Callithrix jacchus: one gene and its partner. The protein of the gene in region 2 purifies or fractionates together with the protein of the main gene of each other region. This does not show direct contact. Links are inferred from orthologs where the notes say so. Each region holds a gene or a part of one and is shown on either strand. Other genes may lie near its edges.

Evidence for each region. The genes of interacting proteins can lie anywhere in the genome.
Region 1: the proteins of LCK (region 2) and SH2D2A purify together in Homo sapiens (co-immunoprecipitation; 3 studies listed by IntAct, with this or other methods). This does not show direct contact. The link is inferred for Callithrix jacchus from reciprocal best matches to the Homo sapiens genes LCK and SH2D2A.

The regions. Positions count from the first base shown.
Region 1 is NC_133519.1:17,210,921-17,214,565, forward strand, and holds part of SH2D2A (SH2 domain-containing protein 2A), read right to left. Parts: coding exon 3,592-3,645; intron 1,011-3,591; coding exon 864-1,010; intron 672-863; coding exon 384-671; intron 1-383. UniProt on the Homo sapiens protein: Could be a T-cell-specific adapter protein involved in the control of T-cell activation. May play a role in the CD4-p56-LCK-dependent signal transduction pathway. Could also play an important role in normal and pathological angiogenesis.
Region 2 is NC_133508.1:68,884,587-68,888,331, reverse strand, and holds the start of LCK (tyrosine-protein kinase Lck), read right to left. Parts: upstream 2,473-3,745; 5' UTR 2,396-2,472; coding exon 2,159-2,395; intron 1,861-2,158; coding exon 1,779-1,860; intron 1,613-1,778; coding exon 1,522-1,612; intron 1,290-1,521; coding exon 1,191-1,289; intron 1,041-1,190; coding exon 937-1,040; intron 739-936; coding exon 589-738; intron 219-588; coding exon 66-218; intron 1-65. UniProt on the Homo sapiens protein: Non-receptor tyrosine-protein kinase that plays an essential role in the selection and maturation of developing T-cells in the thymus and in the function of mature T-cells. Plays a key role in T-cell antigen receptor (TCR)-linked signal transduction pathways.

The sequences.
Region 1 (3,645 bases), on a different chromosome or scaffold from region 2:
GGAGAGAGCCAGAGAGGCATGGGGTGGGGTCAGCCCCAGGTGCGTCTGAAGAGGGCCTGCAGGACAAGATGGGTGCAGATCAAAAAAGTCTCAATGCGGGGGGCTGAGGGGAATCCTGCCCGGGGGCCTCTGTTTTCTCTGTGAGGCAGGAGGACATGGGGGCTTGACAAAGATGAGGTCTGAGTGACTCTGGGGAGAAGACGGGGGAGTCTCTGGGCCTGGAGAAAGGAGGCTGGCACCTGATCATTCTGTCCTTCCCACATCACCTCACACCTCTGTTCTTCACCCTGACCTGGGCATCCACTCCCAACACCTTCTTTCCCTTCTCCGATCTACCTGCAGGGAGACCTTCTTGCACCCACCTTTCCTGGCACACCCATTACCTGGCCTCCTGGGACAGGCCTGGACCGACTTTTCCGTAGGACAGGGTGCCCAAGGGTGGCGGGCAGGCCCTCATCTTCCACCTCCACATAGATGTTGCTGGGGGCTTCCCCGGGGCTGCCCCGGCCCATGGCGTAGAAGGCTATCGGTTCATCAGGCTCGTTGTAGATAGGGTTGGGGGGCCTGGGGGGTGAGGCCAGGCAGCGGCGTGGAGCAGGGCTTGTGTAGAGTTCTGCGGGCAGCTGAGGTTTGGCGGGGATGGGAGGCTTGGGCCTGAGTGGGTGGGAGGGCTAGGAGAGGTAAGGCCAGGGAAGAGTGGAGCGAGGGAGGCAGGGTTAACACCCCAGCAGGATTAAAGCCCTAGCCTAACTCTCAGCTGAGCCTCTGCCCTGCTAAGCCCCTCCTCCTCCCTGCTGCCTGCACCCCCCCCCCCCCCCCCGCAGGCCTCTCCTCCCCTTTCCTCAGCCCCTTCAGCCCAATACCTCTTTCTCCCCAACCCCCTCTTTCTGCATCAGGATTGGGGCCTGCCCCTGCTTGATGATCGGGCTGTACTGGGGGTTTGGGTCCTGGCTTTTGCTTCCAGTGTCTGATTCTTTGGTCCTCAGGGAAAGTCCTGAAGGCTCAGGAGTCTGCTGGGAAAGAAGGAGGTCTGAGGGACTTGGGGGGAGACATTGGGGAGGAGGAGGTGATCAGGAGAACAAAATCATCAGGTCTAAGTGGAGGATAGGGGTGGGATGGGCACAGAAATTTGGCCTGGGCTGAGTTTTCTGGATGAGGAATTGGGGATGGAGATGGCGAGGAGACCCTGGTGTGGGTGGAGGCAGTTTGGTCTGGTCACAGGCCATATCTAGCGTTAAACTTGTTCTTTTTTAAGATAGAGTCTTACTCCGTTGTCCAGGCTGAAGTGCAGTCTCAGCTCACTGCAGCCTTGACCTCCTGGGCTCAAGCCATCCTCTCGCCTCAGCCTCCCAAATAGCAGGGACTACAGATACGTGCTGCCACACCAGCTAATTGTGTTTTCATTTTTTTTTTTTTTTGAGACGGAGTTTCGCTCTTGTTACCCAGGCTGGAGTGCAATGGTGCGATCTCGGTTCACCGCGACCTCCGCCTCCTAGGTTCAGGCAATTCTCCTGCCTCAGCCTCCTGAGTAGCTGGGACTACAGGCACGCACCACCACGCCCAGCTAATTTTTTTGTATTTTTAGTAGAGACGGGGTTTCACCATGTTGACCAGGATGGTCTTGATCTCTTGACCTCGTGATCCACCTGCTTTGGCCTCCCAAAGTGCTGGGATTACAGGCTTGAGCCACCGCGCCCGGCCTGTGTTTTCATTTTTTATAGCAATGAGGTCTCATTATGCTGCCCAGGCTTGGTCTTGAACTCCTGGGCTCAAGTGACCCTCCCACCTCAGCCTTCCATTGTTGCAGGATTACAGGGGTGAGCCACCACACTTGGCTGCATTAAACTTAATTGCATCTGGAACGCAGGGCCAGGCCAGATTCCATTTGTGCCTGTGGTTGTGAAAATGCAACATGGCTTCACATGTCTTTTTTTTTTTTTCTTTTTCCTAGCTATCCTTTACACTGTAGGCCTTACACGTCTTTAGCTGAAAAGTTATTGGCATGGGGACCAATCTCTATGACAGCTGTGCTTGTGTTTATTTATGCATGCTGGTTAATTTATGGAGTTATAAATGATTTTCTTTTTTTTGAGACCAAGTCTCACTCTGTCGTCTAGGCTGGAGTGCAGTGTCGAGATCTCGGCTCACTGCAACCTCTGCCTCCCAGGTCCAAGCAATTCTTCTGCCTCAGCCTCCCAAGTAGCTGGGATTACAGGGGCCTGCCACCACACCCGGCTAATTTTTGTATTTTTCAGTAGAGACAGGCTTTCTCCATGTTGGTTAGGCTGGTCTTGAATTCCCGACCTCAGGTGATCCACCTGCCTCAGCCTCCCAAAGTGCTGGGATTACAGGCATGAGCCACCACCAGGCCATAAGCTAAAATTTTTAAGGGCAGAGACCACCTCAGGAGAGAGGATCCCCATGTGGGATGGTTCTGTCTCACAGAGGGTGTGCTTTTAGCTCAGCGTCCGTTAGCCCTTGGTCCATGAATGCTGTGCCCATACCCACTGCCACTCTAGGCTAAGGTCACAGGGCTTTTCTCGTGCTCCTGCTATCCACCAAGTGCACTTCTCCATCGGGAGGTGTACTGCAGGTATACTGTGGAATCCAAAGAATTATTTTCCCTGCCCTAACCCCCTCCTCTCTCAGTATGTCCTTCCTGAATAAAGAGTGACATCTCCACCCTGCTGCCAAAATAGCATCTTAGGAGTCAGCCTTGAGGCCTCCACCTGCCTCCCGACATGAAATCATACACAAGTCCTGCTCCTTCCACTGTCTGCTGTTCACATCTGTGTACTTTTCTCCACGCACATGGCCAGCACCCTAGTTCAGGCTCCTGACTCCTTTCCCTGCATCGTCTTGTCCTTCCAACCCACTCAGTTTTGTTCCTTGCCGTTTTCCCAGTGCCCAGAATGGCCCCTCAGCACTGCCTGGACTCGTGCACCACTGCCTGCTAGGCTAAATGGTACCCTGGGTTTCCTCTTGAATCACACTCTCTACACTGGAATTCTATTACTTGTCCGTTTTTGCTGCTGGAAAGTAAGCTTTGTGAGTTTGAGACCCACCTGTCTGTCTTGTTCATGGGTCTATTCTCAGGGCCTGCCAGCACTTGGTAGGGCCTAAGTACTCTGTAAATATCTCTTACATTAAAAAAACAAATGACTAGGCTGGGCGCTGTGGCTCACGCCTGTAATCCCAGCTACTCTGGAGGCTGAGGCAGGAGAATCACTTGAACCCGGGAGGCGGAGGTTGCAGGGAGCAGCGATCATGGCACTGCACTCCAGCCTGCGCAACAGAGAGAGAACAAAACATACACAAAACCCCAAATGACCGTGTGTGCCCCTGCTCTCTCCTTGCCCCTCTGTCTCCGTGTGGCTGGGCTGGCCTCTCAAGGACGTCCCCGCCCCCCACCAGCATTCATGTTTCTCGAAGGGCCTCCCACGAAGATGAAGGTGCCCGCGTAAGTGAGGCATGGCCGGTGGTGTTTCAGCATGAGAAAGTGCCTGGTGCCGCGTCCTGCGCCTGGGCTCTGGGTGGGAGGGGCGCTGGCCTGAGACCCTGGGCTCTCGGGTCAGGGTCTGGGGCGCGTACCTGGCGGGCAAGGGGCTCGGTGAGCGTCTCCCCGTAGGGGCTGAGCGGGTGCGC
Region 2 (3,745 bases):
CTCTCACCACCTCTGCAGCCCCTCCCGTTCCCCTCTTCCCAGGCAGTCCTGGAGGCCACACTCACCCATCCACACCTCCCCGAACTGTCCAGCCCCCAGCCGCTCCACCAGCTTCAGCGTCTCCCTGGGAACCTCCCACTCATCCTCCCACCAGGGCTTCTGGGGCTTCTGGGTCTGACAGGGGCGGCTCAGCCGTGTGCACAACCCATCTGAAGCATCTGCGAGGACAAGGGAGTGGGGAAGGTGGTCTTGTATTGACACCACCTCCGCCACTTCTCCAAGCCCACATCCAGGGGAAGTGGACTAGCAAAAACCACCTCCCCCACTTCTCCAAGTCCCCACCCAGGGGAAGTGGACTAGCAAAAACCACCTCCCCCACTTCTCCAAGCCCCCTATCCAGGGAAAGTAGACTAGCAGGCAGGTGTGGGGCTGTCACCCAAACCCTTGGGGCCGTAGGGTTCCACGGTTCCACACCTCACCCACTGCGGGGAATGGAGGAGCGCATTGAAAGATGGTTGGGGGACACCCGAAGGGGACTGAGGGAAGATGGGCTGATAGGGCACTGGGAAGGGGTCCCGCCAGGCTCACTGGTGTAATGGCGGACCAGTTCATGCAAGCCGGGAAAAGTGATTCGCGGGGAGATGTAGAAGCCACCGTTGTCCAGATTACGGATCTTGTAATGTTTCACCACCTCTCCCTGGTTCTGGTCAAAGTCCCGGACCGACAGTGAAAATGATCCTGAATAAATGAATGGATGGATAAAGGAACGAAAGAACGCAGAGTCTGGCCCGCCACCACGGCCCCCACCTCAGGCTCACCCCGCGCGCCCCACTCCGGCTCACCCCACGCCCCCACCTCGAGCTCACCCCCTCGCCTCCCTTTGGCTCACCCCGCGGCCCCCACCCCCGCGCCGGGTCGAGGCCGCCGCCCGCTCACCCGCGGTGCTCTCGCTCTCCCGGATGAGGAAGGAGCCGTGAGTGTTCCCTGGCGCCAGGAGCTGCCGCTCCGCATCCTTGCGGCTCAGGTTCTTGAAGAACCAGCTGTGCAGGGCGGAAGCCAACACAGGCCATCGGCTGTTGTCGAATCTTCCTCCGTGGCCCTCAAGCCTTCACCGCCACCCCAGGCCCACTCCCTGCTCCAGGATCCCTGGATCTGCTTCCATCCCCCCTCCACGACGGGACCCCACTCACGGTTCGGGCTCCAGGCTGTTCGCTTTGGCCACAAAATTGAAGGGGACGAAGCCTTCCTGGCCCGTGGTCAGGGACTGCGCCTTCCACCACTCGCCGTTCCTGCGCCACGGAGGCGGGTCAGTGCGGCCCACTCAGCCGTTGATCTGAGGCTATCCCTCAAAGACCCCCCAACCCTGAAGCCAGCCTCCCGAACCCTGGCTCCGCACTCCTGAGCCTCGAATTTTGTCCCAAGGGCGGCCACCCTAGCCAGTCAAGGGCCGCAGGAGGGCTGCGGTACCGGAGATCCCCGCTCCCTCACGGACTCCCCAGAGCAAGGTGGTCAGGGACTCACTGCTCCAGGATTCGGAGCTGTTCCCCTTTCTCAAAGCCCAGGTCTCCGTCGTGAGAGGGCTTGTAGCTGTGCAGGGCAATAACCAGGTTGTCTGTAAAGACAAGCGGCATCAGGGAGAACCGGCCTGAGATGGGCAGGAAGCCTGGAGTTATGGGGCAGGCGACAAGGAAGGCAGGACAAGGGAGAGAGTAGGTGGGGAGGAGGTGGAAGCCGACAGCGAGGGATCTTGTTTTTCAAGCCCTGCTGCCTGGGGTCACCTTGCAGTGGGGAGGCCGGCGGATTGGAGCCCTCGTAGGTGACCAGTGGGTCCCGAACCTCAGAGCCGTTTCGGAAGAGCAGCTGTGGGGTGGGGGATGAAGAGTGGAGTCAGAGAGCAGAAGACTGGGTCAGACCCTGGCCCCCTTCCCCTCTGCTCTCAGCCTTTCCGCCTGGTTGGGTCTTATCCCTGAATTGATCAACTGCTTGCTGTGTGATCTTAGGAGAGTCCCTTTCCCTCTCTGGGCCTCTTTTCCTTTCCTGTATTCCAGGGGAGAGGGCCGCTCTATTCTTTCAAGGGCCTGTATCGCTGGTCATTTCTTCCTCCTGGGTTGCATGGTCTACCCAACTCCCTCACTAAGGCCCCTGTCTTGCCTCTTACCGTGGCCTTGCCATCCAGTGGGACTATGGGATAATGGCAGTTCTCACACACATCGATGTTCTCCATCCAGTCATCTTCCGGGTGTGAGCTGCAGCCACAGCCCATGGTCCCTGAGGGAATGGAGAAGGGGGCTGAAGGGGCTCCCCCAAGATCTGCTCCCCCAGCATCAGACATCATGGGGCCTTGCCCTGGAAACTTCCAAAAGTACCTGAGATCGTGAGATCCTGGGATCCCCATTCACCAGCCACAGAAAAGGTAAAACAGGGGGTCCCAGCTCCAAACCGGTGCTCCCTCTGAGCCCTCAGGGTACAAGTAAATTCACACAGGCCCCTGAGCCCTAGCCCCACCCTCCCACCTGGGATGGGCAAACTGCCACAGGCACCTTTGTTAGTCTAGTTACCCACTTCCTGCCTCTTCCCCCTCCCTTTCCCTCTGCTGGTACCAGTGTCTGTAGGGAGGACTACCTTCTGAAGATGACACACACTTCCCCAAGCCTGGGGGAGACCTCACTCCATCAGACTCTCCCTTACTGGAGAGATGTGCATGCCCCACCCACCTCCTTTTATAATTCCCCTGTCTAGCTGAAGAGGCTGAGAAAGAGACTTCCACTCCCAAGGTCTGCCATCAGGCCCCGCGCTCCCCACACAACCCCAGAGTCAAGTCACAGTGTTTCTTCAAACATGGGCCTGCTCCTCCCCAGCACAAAACCTCCCAGTGGCTCTGTGGGCCATAACTCTTTTTGTTTATTTGCCTGTTTTAGCAGTGGAACTTTTTTGTCTGATGAAATCAAGCAGAACTCCATAGATAAGGTGATAAAAAGTGGGCCTGAAGCAGAGTGAGGGCCTTGCTTTGAAGCTCCTGGAGTCCCCACAACTCCTCCTTCTCTAGCGCGGCTCCTTAGAGCACTTGGAAAGCTCTGTCCTCGAATAAAGTTTAATGTTTCGTGCATTCCAGACCTCGCATATCAAGATCAAATCTACCTCCAAAGTCCATTCCGCTACACAAACACTCTCACACACACACACACACACACACACACCTTATATACACACACACCCTACACACACACAGGCACCCACTACCCCACCCCCCACACAGAGGCATCCACACTCACACACACAGAGGCAGGCACACACACACTCTCTCTCTCACACACACACAGGCACCTCTACCCCACCCCCCACACAGACACATTTACACTCACACACGCAGGCACACACACACACACACTCACATACACACAAACACCCCCACACACACACATTCACACACAGACTCATTCCCCCAATACACAGGCACCACACACACACATACTCACATAAACACATACACTCATCCCACCCACAAGTACACACACACACACACACTCACACACAGGTATCCACACACATAGTCACATACACACCCTATACACACAGGCACCCACACCCATGAACACACACACCCACATACACACACATACACAGGAACCAACACCCACACAAATGCACTCATCCAACACACATCTCACCCTAGGTTCCCCCTCCCACACACACATTCATACACACACAGGCACCTCCACACTAACACAAACACCTACAGTCACCC